Caenorhabditis elegans: one gene and its partner. The protein of the gene in region 1 interacts with the protein of each later gene in a biochemical or structural test. Each region holds a gene or a part of one and is shown on either strand. Other genes may lie near its edges.

The links.
Region 2: of the proteins of ubr-1 (region 1) and lin-28, one has a biochemical effect on the other in vitro, tested with the Caenorhabditis elegans proteins (one study listed by BioGRID).

The regions. Positions count from the first base shown.
Region 1 is NC_003279.8:3,813,512-3,819,034, reverse strand, and holds the start of ubr-1 (E3 ubiquitin-protein ligase ubr-1), read left to right. Parts: upstream 1-2,225; 5' UTR 2,226-2,238; coding exon 2,239-2,392; intron 2,393-2,446; coding exon 2,447-2,697; intron 2,698-2,903; coding exon 2,904-3,206; intron 3,207-3,263; coding exon 3,264-3,555; intron 3,556-3,614; coding exon 3,615-4,256; intron 4,257-4,613; coding exon 4,614-4,942; intron 4,943-4,991; coding exon 4,992-5,523. Other genes in the region: npp-11 (Nsp1_C domain-containing protein), read right to left, coding at 1-633, 705-797, 845-956. UniProt on the Caenorhabditis elegans protein: E3 ubiquitin-protein ligase which is a component of the N-end rule pathway. Recognizes and binds to proteins bearing specific N-terminal residues that are destabilizing according to the N-end rule, leading to their ubiquitination and subsequent degradation.
Region 2 is NC_003279.8:8,406,771-8,412,832, reverse strand, and holds lin-28 (Protein lin-28), read left to right. Parts: upstream 1-2,028; 5' UTR 2,029-2,029; coding exon 2,030-2,170; intron 2,171-2,912; exon of another isoform or gene 2,913-3,101; coding exon of another isoform or gene 3,102-3,149; intron 3,150-3,492; coding exon 3,493-3,699; intron 3,700-4,336; coding exon 4,337-4,672; 3' UTR 4,673-5,201; downstream 5,202-6,062. Other genes in the region: F02E9.1 (Vacuolar ATPase assembly protein VMA22), read right to left, coding at 5,244-5,315, 5,359-5,511, 5,566-5,650, 5,703-5,771, 5,822-5,907. UniProt on the Caenorhabditis elegans protein: Heterochronic protein which controls the choice of stage specific cell fates. Regulates the timing of the second larval stage events (L2 events) in the hypodermis.

The DNA.
Region 1 (5,523 bases):
ATCCTGATGTGGCAGTTGTAGTTGCAGCGGTGGTTGCAGGAGCGGTAGAACCAAAAAGACCTCCCGATGGAGCTGCAGGCTTTGGAGCTGCGCCGAATAGTCCACCAGATGAAGCTGTCGCAGCAGGTGCTGAATTTCCGAATAATCCAGAGGTTGGAGCAGCATTGCTAGTAGCTGGTGCAGCCCCGAACAAACCACCAGAAGGAGCTGGGGCTGTGGAAGTTGGAGCAGCTGAAGATCCGAATAAGCCGCCGGATGGAGCCGCTGTAGAGGTGGAAGTGCTTCCAAATAGTCCTCCTGGTGCTGCTGGAGCGGCCGTGGATCCGAATAATCCACTTGATGGCGCAGCAGTTGAGCTACCGAAAAGCCCGCCAGTTGGTGCAGTTGTTGCGGTACTTGTGGATGATCCGAACAAGCCGCCAGTTGGAGCAGCTGGTTTATTAGCTCCGAACATGCCAGCACCAGCTGATGGTGCGCTTGCGCCAAACGTTACTGTAGCAGGTGCTGCTGAATTTGCAGAACTTCCAAAAATGCTCGTTGAAGCGGGAGCTGGCGCCGCGGCACCAGAATTTCCAAAGATTCCAGCAGACGCTGGGGCTGGAGCTGCAGCAGAGGAGCCTCCAAACATTGAGCCTGAAAAATTTAAAATTATACTTTTTGAATACGGGAGCGTATTTTACAAGTTTATTAAACCAAAAACCTACCAGTAGCTGTGCTGTTTCCGAAAAGTCCAGTACTTCCAGTGCTCGGCTGTGCGGATCCAAAAGAAAAACCTCCGGTAGTATTCGTGTTTCCGCCTAAAAACGAAAAAAATAAATTAGTTGAATTTTTCATCGATCGATACCTGTGTTCGCTGTTGATGTGCTCGAATTACCGAAAGAAAATCCAGATGAGGCTGTTGTGGTAGCAGCGGTTCCTCCGAAAATCGACGGTTTTGGTGCAGATCCTCCAAACATTTGATCTGGAATGATATTTTTAATATTTTTAAAGGGCAGCAATATTATTTGACAAAAAGAAAACGACAGAGAGGCAGAAAATAGTCATTTGAGTGCACAAATGAGCGCGTCGAGATTCGAAAAATGATTTGGTGGTCGCGCGAAAATGATGGCCTAAAAACACCGCAGACTAGGCCGGCGGCTGGGAGGAGCACGCGACGTCGGCGTGAAGGAGAAAAATCGAAGATAATTTCATGTGCTGCAGTTAGTTTGAAAATATAAATATTTTTGGGCCCGAATGTCTTTGTGGTTTCTATTGCTATTCTAACTTCTCGATTACAACTTATAATATTGATCCATTTTTTATACTGATATTTTAAAAAAGTTATGAAATGTGAAGAAAGATCTCGATCATCGAAACGATGAGCAAGCTTCTGAATATGCAAAGTTTTCTATCACAAAGGGGTAAAAACGCGGGAGAACCTTTTTTTCCTGCTGACCAAGTACTTTTCACGAAGAAATACTTTAATTTTTGATGAAAATAAAAAAGAAAACTATATACAAACTCAAAAATCTAACAACTCTCAGCGATCCACGCAAATTAGGAAATTGAAAACAAAAAGAGAAATTTGTGTACCGTAGTCCGAACACTTAAAGGCGCATGCCTCACCTTCAGGGTCTCGCCACGATCCACTTCCCAAGGGTTTTATTTTTATTTTTTTAGATTGTTTTTTTTCGCGAAATCAGTTATTTTTTCGGTGAAAAAGTATATTTTATTGCTTTTAAAGTCAAATAACTTTTATTAAAATATAGTTTTAAATTATTTTGACGTTATATGAGTGAAACATTCAAAGTCCACGTGCTCTAAAGTCTGATTTTAAAAAAAAGTTTTTTTTTATTGCTTCGCCAGTGAATTCGCTGACACGTAAAAATAATCAATATTTTTAATAGTTCAATTTCCTCATTGTTGAATTATTTAATCCACGATGCATTGCACCGAGTCCGTGAGAGCTCTTTATCTGCGGCAACACTCTCGCATCGAAAACAGAGAGAGAGAGAAGCAAATCTATATCCTCCCGTTCTCTCTCATCTCCTTCACTTTCTCCTAGTGTCCACTGTCATCATTTTTGCCTCCCATCACTGCTTTTTGTCCTCTCGTTCGCTTATTTTGATATGGTCATCAGCAGCATAATCGGGGGGTCGGAAAATAATCAATATATTTTATTTTCTTTTACGAATCCTCTTTTTCTTAGATGAAATGCTCCTATTTTATCAAGCTACCGATTTCAGTTCGACTAATGGAATGATTGTCGATTTAATACAATCAGCTCGACAGGGTGAATGGGCCCAAGTACGCCAGCTGCTGCTCAAGCACTGGCTTGTACAGGTCCCAGAGGTGTTCGAAGTGAATTCGGATTTGCCATGGGACAATACAGCCGCGAATGAACGAATTCTAGGTGGGTTTTTTTGAAAAAAAAAACATATATATTAAAAAGCCAATTTTGCTTCAGGTTCCCAAGGAGAGATTCTCCTAGCCCCACTGGTCAGTGCATTTGTACTAGACGTTCGGAACACAAAGAGCACACTGGAAGCAATGAATGGCATTGCCGGAGTTGATCCTGCAAGACGGGGACAAATTTGTGGCCATGTATTTAAAAACGGAGAACTTACGTATACATGTCTGGATTGTGCCACTGATGGGACATGTGTCATGTGTCTTCAGTGTTTTGAAGTTTCAATTCATAAATCTCATAAATACAAAGTGAGGATGCCTCAAAATGAATCAATTTCCACAGAAAATTTCTGAAAAAAAACATTCAGATTTTAGCCGAAACTTGCCCTTTTTCTCGAAATTTTAAACCAACATAGACAAAATCTTGAAAAGTTTTTGATTATTTTGAGCGAATATGAATGATAAAACACGCATATTTAAGTAAATCCAATTTATAATTGAAAAAAAATTTCCAGATGCACTCTTCCTCCGGTTCGGGATATTGTGACTGTGGTGATGCAGATGCATGGACAGAAGGTTACGCATGTGCAAATCACGAGAAAAAGGACGATGAAGAGGCGGCAGTGTTGGCTCCAGAATTGAAAAAACGATGTGAACAGCTGGTGGAAATCATTTTACAGTTTTCCCTTTCAATGATCACTCATAAAGATGATCTCAAACTTCCCGAAATTTTCGAGAAAATGAAGCCAGAGGTTACAAATGAGGCACAGCAATATTTGACGGTTCTTTACAATGATGAAACTCACACTTATGAATCTGTTAGTAATTAATATTCCGAATTTCAATTAAATCTTCAATTTCCCCGTTTTTTCCAGGTGATCAAAGTTCTGGAATTGTACATACATTGTACAAAGGATCAGGCGATGCTTGTAGCCACAATTGTCGATCGAGAAGGTCGAAGTGCTGTGAAACTTGGCAGTAAGGCTGATTGCACCAAAGCTAAGGATGATGTTCAGAGAAAAACAGCTCGAGATCCAACGTCAATTCGAAGATCATCGAATCATAATCTACCGTTAAGTGTTAAGGTTATGGATACCACGCTTTTCGCGCTTCAGAATTTTTCGATCTCCCTTCTTACTTGGCTCAACACACAGATGGATGTTTTTCGTTAGTTTTTATTTCTTTTTATTTCTTTTCATTATTCGAAATCGTGTTTTTATTTTCAGCTCCCCTTCGCGAAATTGTTGGAGAAATTCTGCTGAGTTCAAAGTTTGCACTGAAAAAGAATTACACGCGGAAAATGAAGTCAGAGGATCAACGTCTAGTTGCCGGAATTATCAGAAATGTTATGGTTTTGCCGGATGATGAAGAGGAAGAACTATTCGCACTTGATGGAAGAATGGATGTTGATGAAATGGATGACGACGATATTGGTGGAGAAGCTCTGCAAATGGAAATTGACGCGGATGATGAAGAAGAGATAACAGCAGCGTTGGCAGGAGTTTCAGAACATCAAGAATCTCCAGGTCCTTCACGAGATTCTTCAACATTCACAATGCTAGAGAATATTCTTCTCCAGGATACACAAATGTGGAAAGCTGGAAGATCGATTTTGCATCAAATGCTCATGCGGACAGTTTTCATGATTTATGATCAGAAAGTTCGATTTGCAAAGGCTTTTATGCTACATTATAATGAAATTTACGAGGATTTCATTAAAGATGATCATGAGATGGATGTTTCAGTTGTTGGGTTATCAGTTCAATTCATGACTGTTCCTAGTCTGGCTCGGAAACTTGTCGCCGAAGATCAAGCATTCAGTGTGATATCGAAAGCGATTCGGGATCAGACTGATAAATTTGTGAAGTGTGAGTTTTGAAAATATCAAACCAGACGTGGGCGGAAATTTTGATTTTTGGCAAGTTTCCGGAAGTTGTTAGACGGAAACACTTAAAACTGGGATTCTTTTTTGAAATTTTTTCTTATTTTCTTCAGCTATTTTTATAAAATTTGCTTACTTTTCAAAATAGATGTGAGAACATTTATACGATGCGTACAATTTTGCCGATTGAAATTGAAATTCTCAAATTTTCAAAAAAGAAATGTGCAAAACCACAATTTGCCGAAAAAACGAAAACTTCGGCAATTTCCGTTTTGCCGGAAATATAGAAATAAAGCCGCCCTCCCCTGTATCAAACCAATATTTGAATTTCTCTAATTTTCAGATTACAATGACGGAAAAATCGCGAGATTTGATTTCACAAGTCGCTCATTTCCACCAGAATTAAGAAGATCCCTTCATATCACTCGAGATATGGCCTATATCCTGAATGCTGTGCCATCGGAAAGCGACTGGAATCGAGAACTTATCGATGGATTTGTTCAAGGATTCGCTGATTTTCTGCTTTTCCTGCAGCATCTGCAAGGAATGGATGAGGTGAAACGACAAGCCGTTGAGCATCAAGTGTGGGAATCTGAGTGGGAAACAGCGTTCAATATCCTTTTACGATTGAAAGACGCGATTTCGATGATTATTGGATGGGCAGAAACTAATGTGAGTTTTCCTGAAGTAATTAAAAATCTCAAAATAATTGGATTTTCAGGAAGAAGTTCATAATCGTCTAATGATAATGTGCCTTGAATTGATGAATCGTATGCCACCTGTCTATACAAAATCCGAGGAGGATACCTATGAATTGACGGTCACTATCAACGGAGAATCATGTCGAATATCACATTTTGACGTGCTTAAATCATCCACCTCGGTCCATCAGCCGGTTGTTCGAATTATCGCGGGTCTCTTTAGTGCTTCGAATTACACGGGATTTTTGTTGAATAGAAGTAATAATTCACATACGAGTTTGAATCAAGAAAGAATCAAAGAACTTATCAACTGTAAGGACGAGACGAATCTCTACGAACTGAGTCTCCGAGTGCTCGTCCTGTGTGCACAATCCAACGCGACACTTTGGAGAAGAAATGGATTTTCGCTGATAAACCAGATTCATAATTATTTCTCTCCACTCTGTCGAAATGAGATGTTCGATCGTGATGTTCTGATGATGCAAGTAGGAGCTGCACTCACACCGTCAACAAAATTCATTTTCCACCTTCTTCATCGATTCCGTCTCTTTA
Region 2 (6,062 bases), 4.6 Mb from region 1:
TTTTGTTTAATTTTGATGCTTGGTCTATGATGTGAAATTGAGAGTGTGAAGATTGAAAAAAATCGGAGATATATTTAAAAAATGAATGTGAATACGAGAAATCAATCAAAATAAACAATTATTCTAAAAAACAAATCGATAATTGAAACTTCCAGGTTACGGTAGTTTTAAAGGCACACAACAATTCACTTGCTTTGGGTCTCGCAGCGCATATGGTTCACTTTTTGAAAATTTTATTCTGAGCTTGATTTTCTCCATTTCAAACATGTTTTATTTAATTGAATTTAAGATTTATTTGTGTTTTCATTGTGAAATATTTATCCGAAAGTCTCACCAAGACATTTCTCGATATCTACTGCCATAAAACCCATCCAGCATTCCTGTCTGTCCGATCACATCTCGGAGCGCTTTTCTGTTGAAAAAACCTTGGCATTGAAAAATAGCGTGTGAGATGAAGAAATACAAAGAAAACAAGAATAGAGAGGAAACGGGGCACAAACGAAGAGACAAGAAAATGATGTGTGCAAGGCGTTTGTGTTTCGGTTTCAACACTATTTAAAATATTCGTTTTTCTTTTGGTTTCTGGGTTTTGAAACCAGTATTTAATTATAACTTAAATTTTTCAAAAGCTAGAAAATCATTGATAAAAGCTTTTTTTTTAATTTTTAAGTTATTTTCGATTCCGCAGAAAATCTTTTGCACTATGAAATCAAAAAGATACCAATCATCAAAAACCTCTGAATCTCATCTCTTTCCCGTCGAAAAAATAACATAAAACATTCGTTGCCACCAGATATCCACCAACTGTTGATTATATCAGATCATCTCATTTTTATCTCCATTCCATCACTTCAAAGCCTCTTTGCAACGAAGGTGAGAAAGAAATTGAAAATTCTGCTTCTCTTCATCTCTTCTCACCGTTCTTATCTGCTTGTCAGTTCTTTTTTTGCGGCGGTTAAATATCATTCAATTTTCAATTCATTTTCTTATTCGACAATTCTCTCCTCTGCACCTAAGATCACCTGCATCACGTTTAATCCAATATGGGTGGTTTAATCAAGTCTTATAGAAAGAAATATGAATAGCTGGAAATTGATATTTCTTTTTTTCTAACTTGGAAACAACCTGATAATACATTAGTTCAAATCGAAATTTGGACTTTTGGAATAATTTGGAAAAACCAAATGCAGATGTAGAGGTGAAATAAAATTACTGTTCCAAAAAAAAAAAAAATACTGTTCCATGCTCATTTCTTTTTCCAATTTCTTTTCCATCTCCTATTGATACTGAATAAGTGATTCCTTTTTTCCGATATATCGCCCTCCGGCGCCCTGCTCCCCTTGTATAATTTCTCTTTATCTCTACCACTCTCCCCACTTTCAATGATCACTTTTTGTCCTGGCGCCTGACCCTTCGTCCATCCGATGCCGTCCATTTTTCATCTCTTTTTCTCTGCATTTCTCCATTTTTATCATACTATTTCCGTTCATTTTTCTTTTAGTATGGTGTAGAAATAGTTGTTCACGGTGGTTCAGTTGCTAGATGGGTGCAAACGCGCTCCACCGAACAAACATGCATAACTTGGCAGGGAAGTACAAAATCAAACATTCATCACAAATAAAGATAGATAATTTCATTGCGGTCATTTCTTATATGCATCGCAAAATCGACTTTGTGACGGTTTTCGAGATAGTAGCCAATATATGTTTCCAGACTGAGTATCATGAACAAACCCATCTAGTTTCTGTGCTACCGGGTGTTGATGGACGCTACTGCAAGCGCGCTGTGTTGAGGACAATAGATGATTGGCGCGGTGCCAACATCATCCGTTTGTTCAGTTTTGACATTTTCCAATCTTGCTTCTATTTGAATTTATAGTTTCTTTCTATAATTTTAATTTCATCATCGGAAGTTCAGCAATGCTTTTAATTAAAAATCTCACAATTAAGTACTGAACTACATATATGTATATTACTTTATTTAAATACGTGACGATTCTCAAAAAAAAATTTTAAAAATCTTTTTCAGGATGTCGACGGTAGTATCGGAGGGAAGGAATGATGGGAATAACCGATATTCACCACAAGATGAAGTTGAAGATAGGCTGCCAGATGTAGTTGACAATAGGCTTACTGAGAACATGAGAGTTCCTTCCTTCGAGAGGCTCCCGGTAAGTTTTTAGTTTTTTGTTTAGAATTATAAAATTATCTAATTTCCGAAAATTTTTCGTTTAAGCCAAGTTTTAATTCTCAATTTTTAAGCATAGTTAATTATAAAACATTTTCGCAAATGACTCTAAAATTAACTTTGACAATTCAATCAAACCTTACTGAATCTATCGAAACCCAGAAACAGTTTTATTTTGGTTTCTGGTGTTCCAATTTTTAGATTTTCAGAAATTTTCGGTAAATATTTTTGTAACAGTTTTTAGTTGAAGACTCCAAATATTTTTTTTGATATTTCGAAAATGTCAGTTAAGGATTTGGTACATTTCCTAAAATTTTGATCTTATTGAGAAATTTCTAGCATTGTTACACTTTTTATGATGATAATCGACCATTTAAGCATAGTACAGATAGTTTCAAACAATTTTGGAATTACTCTGACTTTGAAATTTTTTTTTTAATTGTAGAAACTTGTTTTCTTAGAATTACGCATTCTTACAAAAGATATAGAATGTTCATAAGATGTTTGAGTCGATTTCCCATTAACTGCAGGTGCATTTCATTCTTCCATCATCCGTAAATCATTATTTGGTATACGGTATCTCTCTCCTTTCTAACACTTCCGCGCGGAATAAAAACAGAGATTCAGAGAAATAGAGAGAGGTCAGCTGAGAAGAAGAAGTGTCGCGCACACAGCTCCTCGCCCAATGCCCTCCTGTCGGTTTCTCTGTGAACACTCCACATTTCAAATGATCTCTAATTCAGTTCCTCCACCGCTCACTCATCCTTTCCTCGAATCTCTGGGTTTCCTCGCCACTCTTTTTTTCTCTGTGCTCTCTCTCACCCATTACTATTATTATTTGTATGTGTGGTATTGTTGTTCTGTATATTTGATAGGTTGTATTCTCTAGTTAACACATAGTTCTAATTAGAACAATGATTGAAGCCGCTTTGGAGAATCCGGTGCCCATCAAATCTCAATTGGTATGTAACTAATTGAAATTGCAACTGAAAAAATATCACTGTTTATTTATTGATTCGATTGTAAATAGTCTCGAATTTCCAGTGACGATTCGGGGTAAAACCGGAAAAAAAGTAATTTATAAATAAAAGTCGGAGCGACGAGAAGAGCTTTAATTAAAAATATCTTAACGGTTTAGCAATTTAAAAAAAATATTTAGTTACCTAAATACTTTGAGAGTGGATTATTTATGGTGTTAAAATGAGGAAATATTACTGAAAACTCAGTAAATTAAAAAATTTATATAAAGAAGATGTCAATTAATAACTGCGTCATAATGCCTTTCAAATAATTTAATTTTTTCAGTCACCAACACCTCGATACTTTGGCTCATGCAAATGGTTTAATGTGTCGAAAGGATATGGTTTTGTGATCGATGACATCACCGGTGAAGATCTATTCGTTCATCAGTCTAATCTCAATATGCAAGGATTTCGGAGTCTTGATGAAGGAGAACGTGTATCATACTACATTCAAGAGCGATCGAATGGAAAAGGTAGAGAAGCTTATGCGGTTCGTTTTATTTTTATTTTTTCTAACAGCAAAAGTTAAAAAAAAGGTCAGCGTTCTTTAAATTTGTTTTTTCATCAAAAAAACCTGACAAAAATCAAGCATAATTCATAAAAGCTTTTCCTATTCTGTCAATTAGAAAGTATATTAGTTCTTACGAATTCTCTTTAATCTTTGTCAGTATTTTTGAAAAATAATATTTAAAAACTAAAAAAAAACGCTGCTTTAACCTATATTTTGAATGCGAGAGAAACTTTGCTTATGGTATTTTTGCGCAATTTATTGAGATACGGGAATCCGAAATTCTGAGAATGCGTATTGCACAACATATTTGACGCGCAAAATATCTCGTAGCGACAACTACAGTAATCATTTTAATGACTATTGTAGCTGTGTCGATTTAGGGGCAAAAAAAACACGAAGAATAAAAAAGAAATATCGCTGTCACTATTCGAAAAGAATTTCATTCGAGATCGTAAATCGGCACTAGCGCTAATTACAGTAGTATTAAAAAAATTACTGTAGTTTTCGCTACAGGATATGTTGTCAATGCGCATTCTCAGTTTTTTGTTCCAGTGCAATATTAAAGCAAAATAATAATGTAAATTGAAAATCCAACTCAATTTTATACAGTTTTCAGGTATCAGGAGAAGTAGAAGGACAAGGACTGAAAGGAAGCCGAATTCATCCATTGGGTCGTAAGAAGGCTGTCTCACTACGTTGCTTCAGATGTGGAAAGTTTGCGACTCACAAGGCGAAAAGTTGTCCAAACGTAAAAACCGATGCAAAAGTGTGTTATACCTGTGGATCCGAGGAGCACGTGAGCTCAATCTGTCCTGAAAGACGACGAAAGCATCGACCGGAACAAGTTGCCGCAGAGGAAGCAGAAGCTGCGAGAATGGCAGCTGAAAAATCATCACCGACTACATCTGACGATGATATTAGAGAAAAGAATAGTAATTCCTCTGATGAATAGAATCATCTAGACACTGAGAATATTGATAGAGAAATAATGGAATATATGGTCTCAAATAGATTTTGTCTCGAAATTCTTGAACATCCAAATTTAAATGTGAAAATTTTAGGAAATAATTTTGAGCTTTCTGATAGTTTTTCAGCTTTTGAAATGTATTTTATTTTGAAACCAATATTTATTTCATTTTCTGTCTCATCTAATTCTCAGTTTGCATGCGTTACTTTAACTTACACACTAACTCTTTTTTTATTCAAATTTTGATGTTTTTTTTTCAATTGTTTTACTCAAATTTCCCCTCTAAACCATACTACCACCTACCTCCTCAAATTGCACTCTCAGGGATTCTTTTTTTTTTCAAATAGAACTGATTGCACCTGTTTTCAGGATCTATAAATCTTATAATATATTTAACTTTCGTGTCTTTTCATGTTCATGTATTTCTTGCTGAAATCCATCATTTTCTCTGAAAATCTCTACTCGTAAGTTCCGCTATTGCGGGCGAACGCTGAAATAAATCGAGAGTTTTGTTTTTATATTGATTGAATACATATTTATCACAGAATCATGCAATTTAACAATCCTCAACAAGTTGGCGGGATTTGGCAAGAATTGATTGTTGGGTGGATACAAGGTCGAGAATCGTCTGAAAAATGGATTTGAAATTAAATTCCTGAGATTTTCAATACCTGAATAGAATTTCTATAAATTTTTCGAGCGTCCTTTGCAGCAGCCGGCTCAAGAACCCCAAACGGACGGAATTGTCCAGAAAATGTTTTTTTGGCTTCTTCAACGTCTTCTGATTCTCCGCTATTCTTCTTTTCTGATTTATTCTCGTCCTTCTGCAAAAAATTTAAATGTAAATTTTTGTGGAACAAAAAACGATTGCAAAAAACCTTTTTCTTATTCTTTTTGTCGTTTTTCTCTTCCTCATTCTCTGAATTTTTGAGAAGTACAAATTTCCCGTTTTTCGTATCCAATCTAAAAATGAATACACTTAAGTAAGTATAATTCAAAAAAAAGTAGTTTATACCTGATAGATGGCTCCAAATCGTGTGTATCGACAGAATTAACACTGAAAAGACCAATTCCGTGCGTTGTTCTGAACAATTTCTCGATAAAGATTCATTTTACGAAACGAATAAAACTTACTTTGCTTTAGAAATACACAAACTTGCCAAGTTCAAGTCTTTTCGAAGTTGATCGTGAAGGGTGATGAATTTGTCGATTAATTCCATTTTTTCGAGGTATAAATCATTTTTCTGATTTATTGATTGCGCAGGCATCACTGGAAATATACGCTTTTATTGTAAAGCAGTAAGGAAAAAGAGAAAATGATTGAAAAAAGCAGAGAACGATCAAAAATTGGTTGAAACAGCAAGTGCGCCCTATT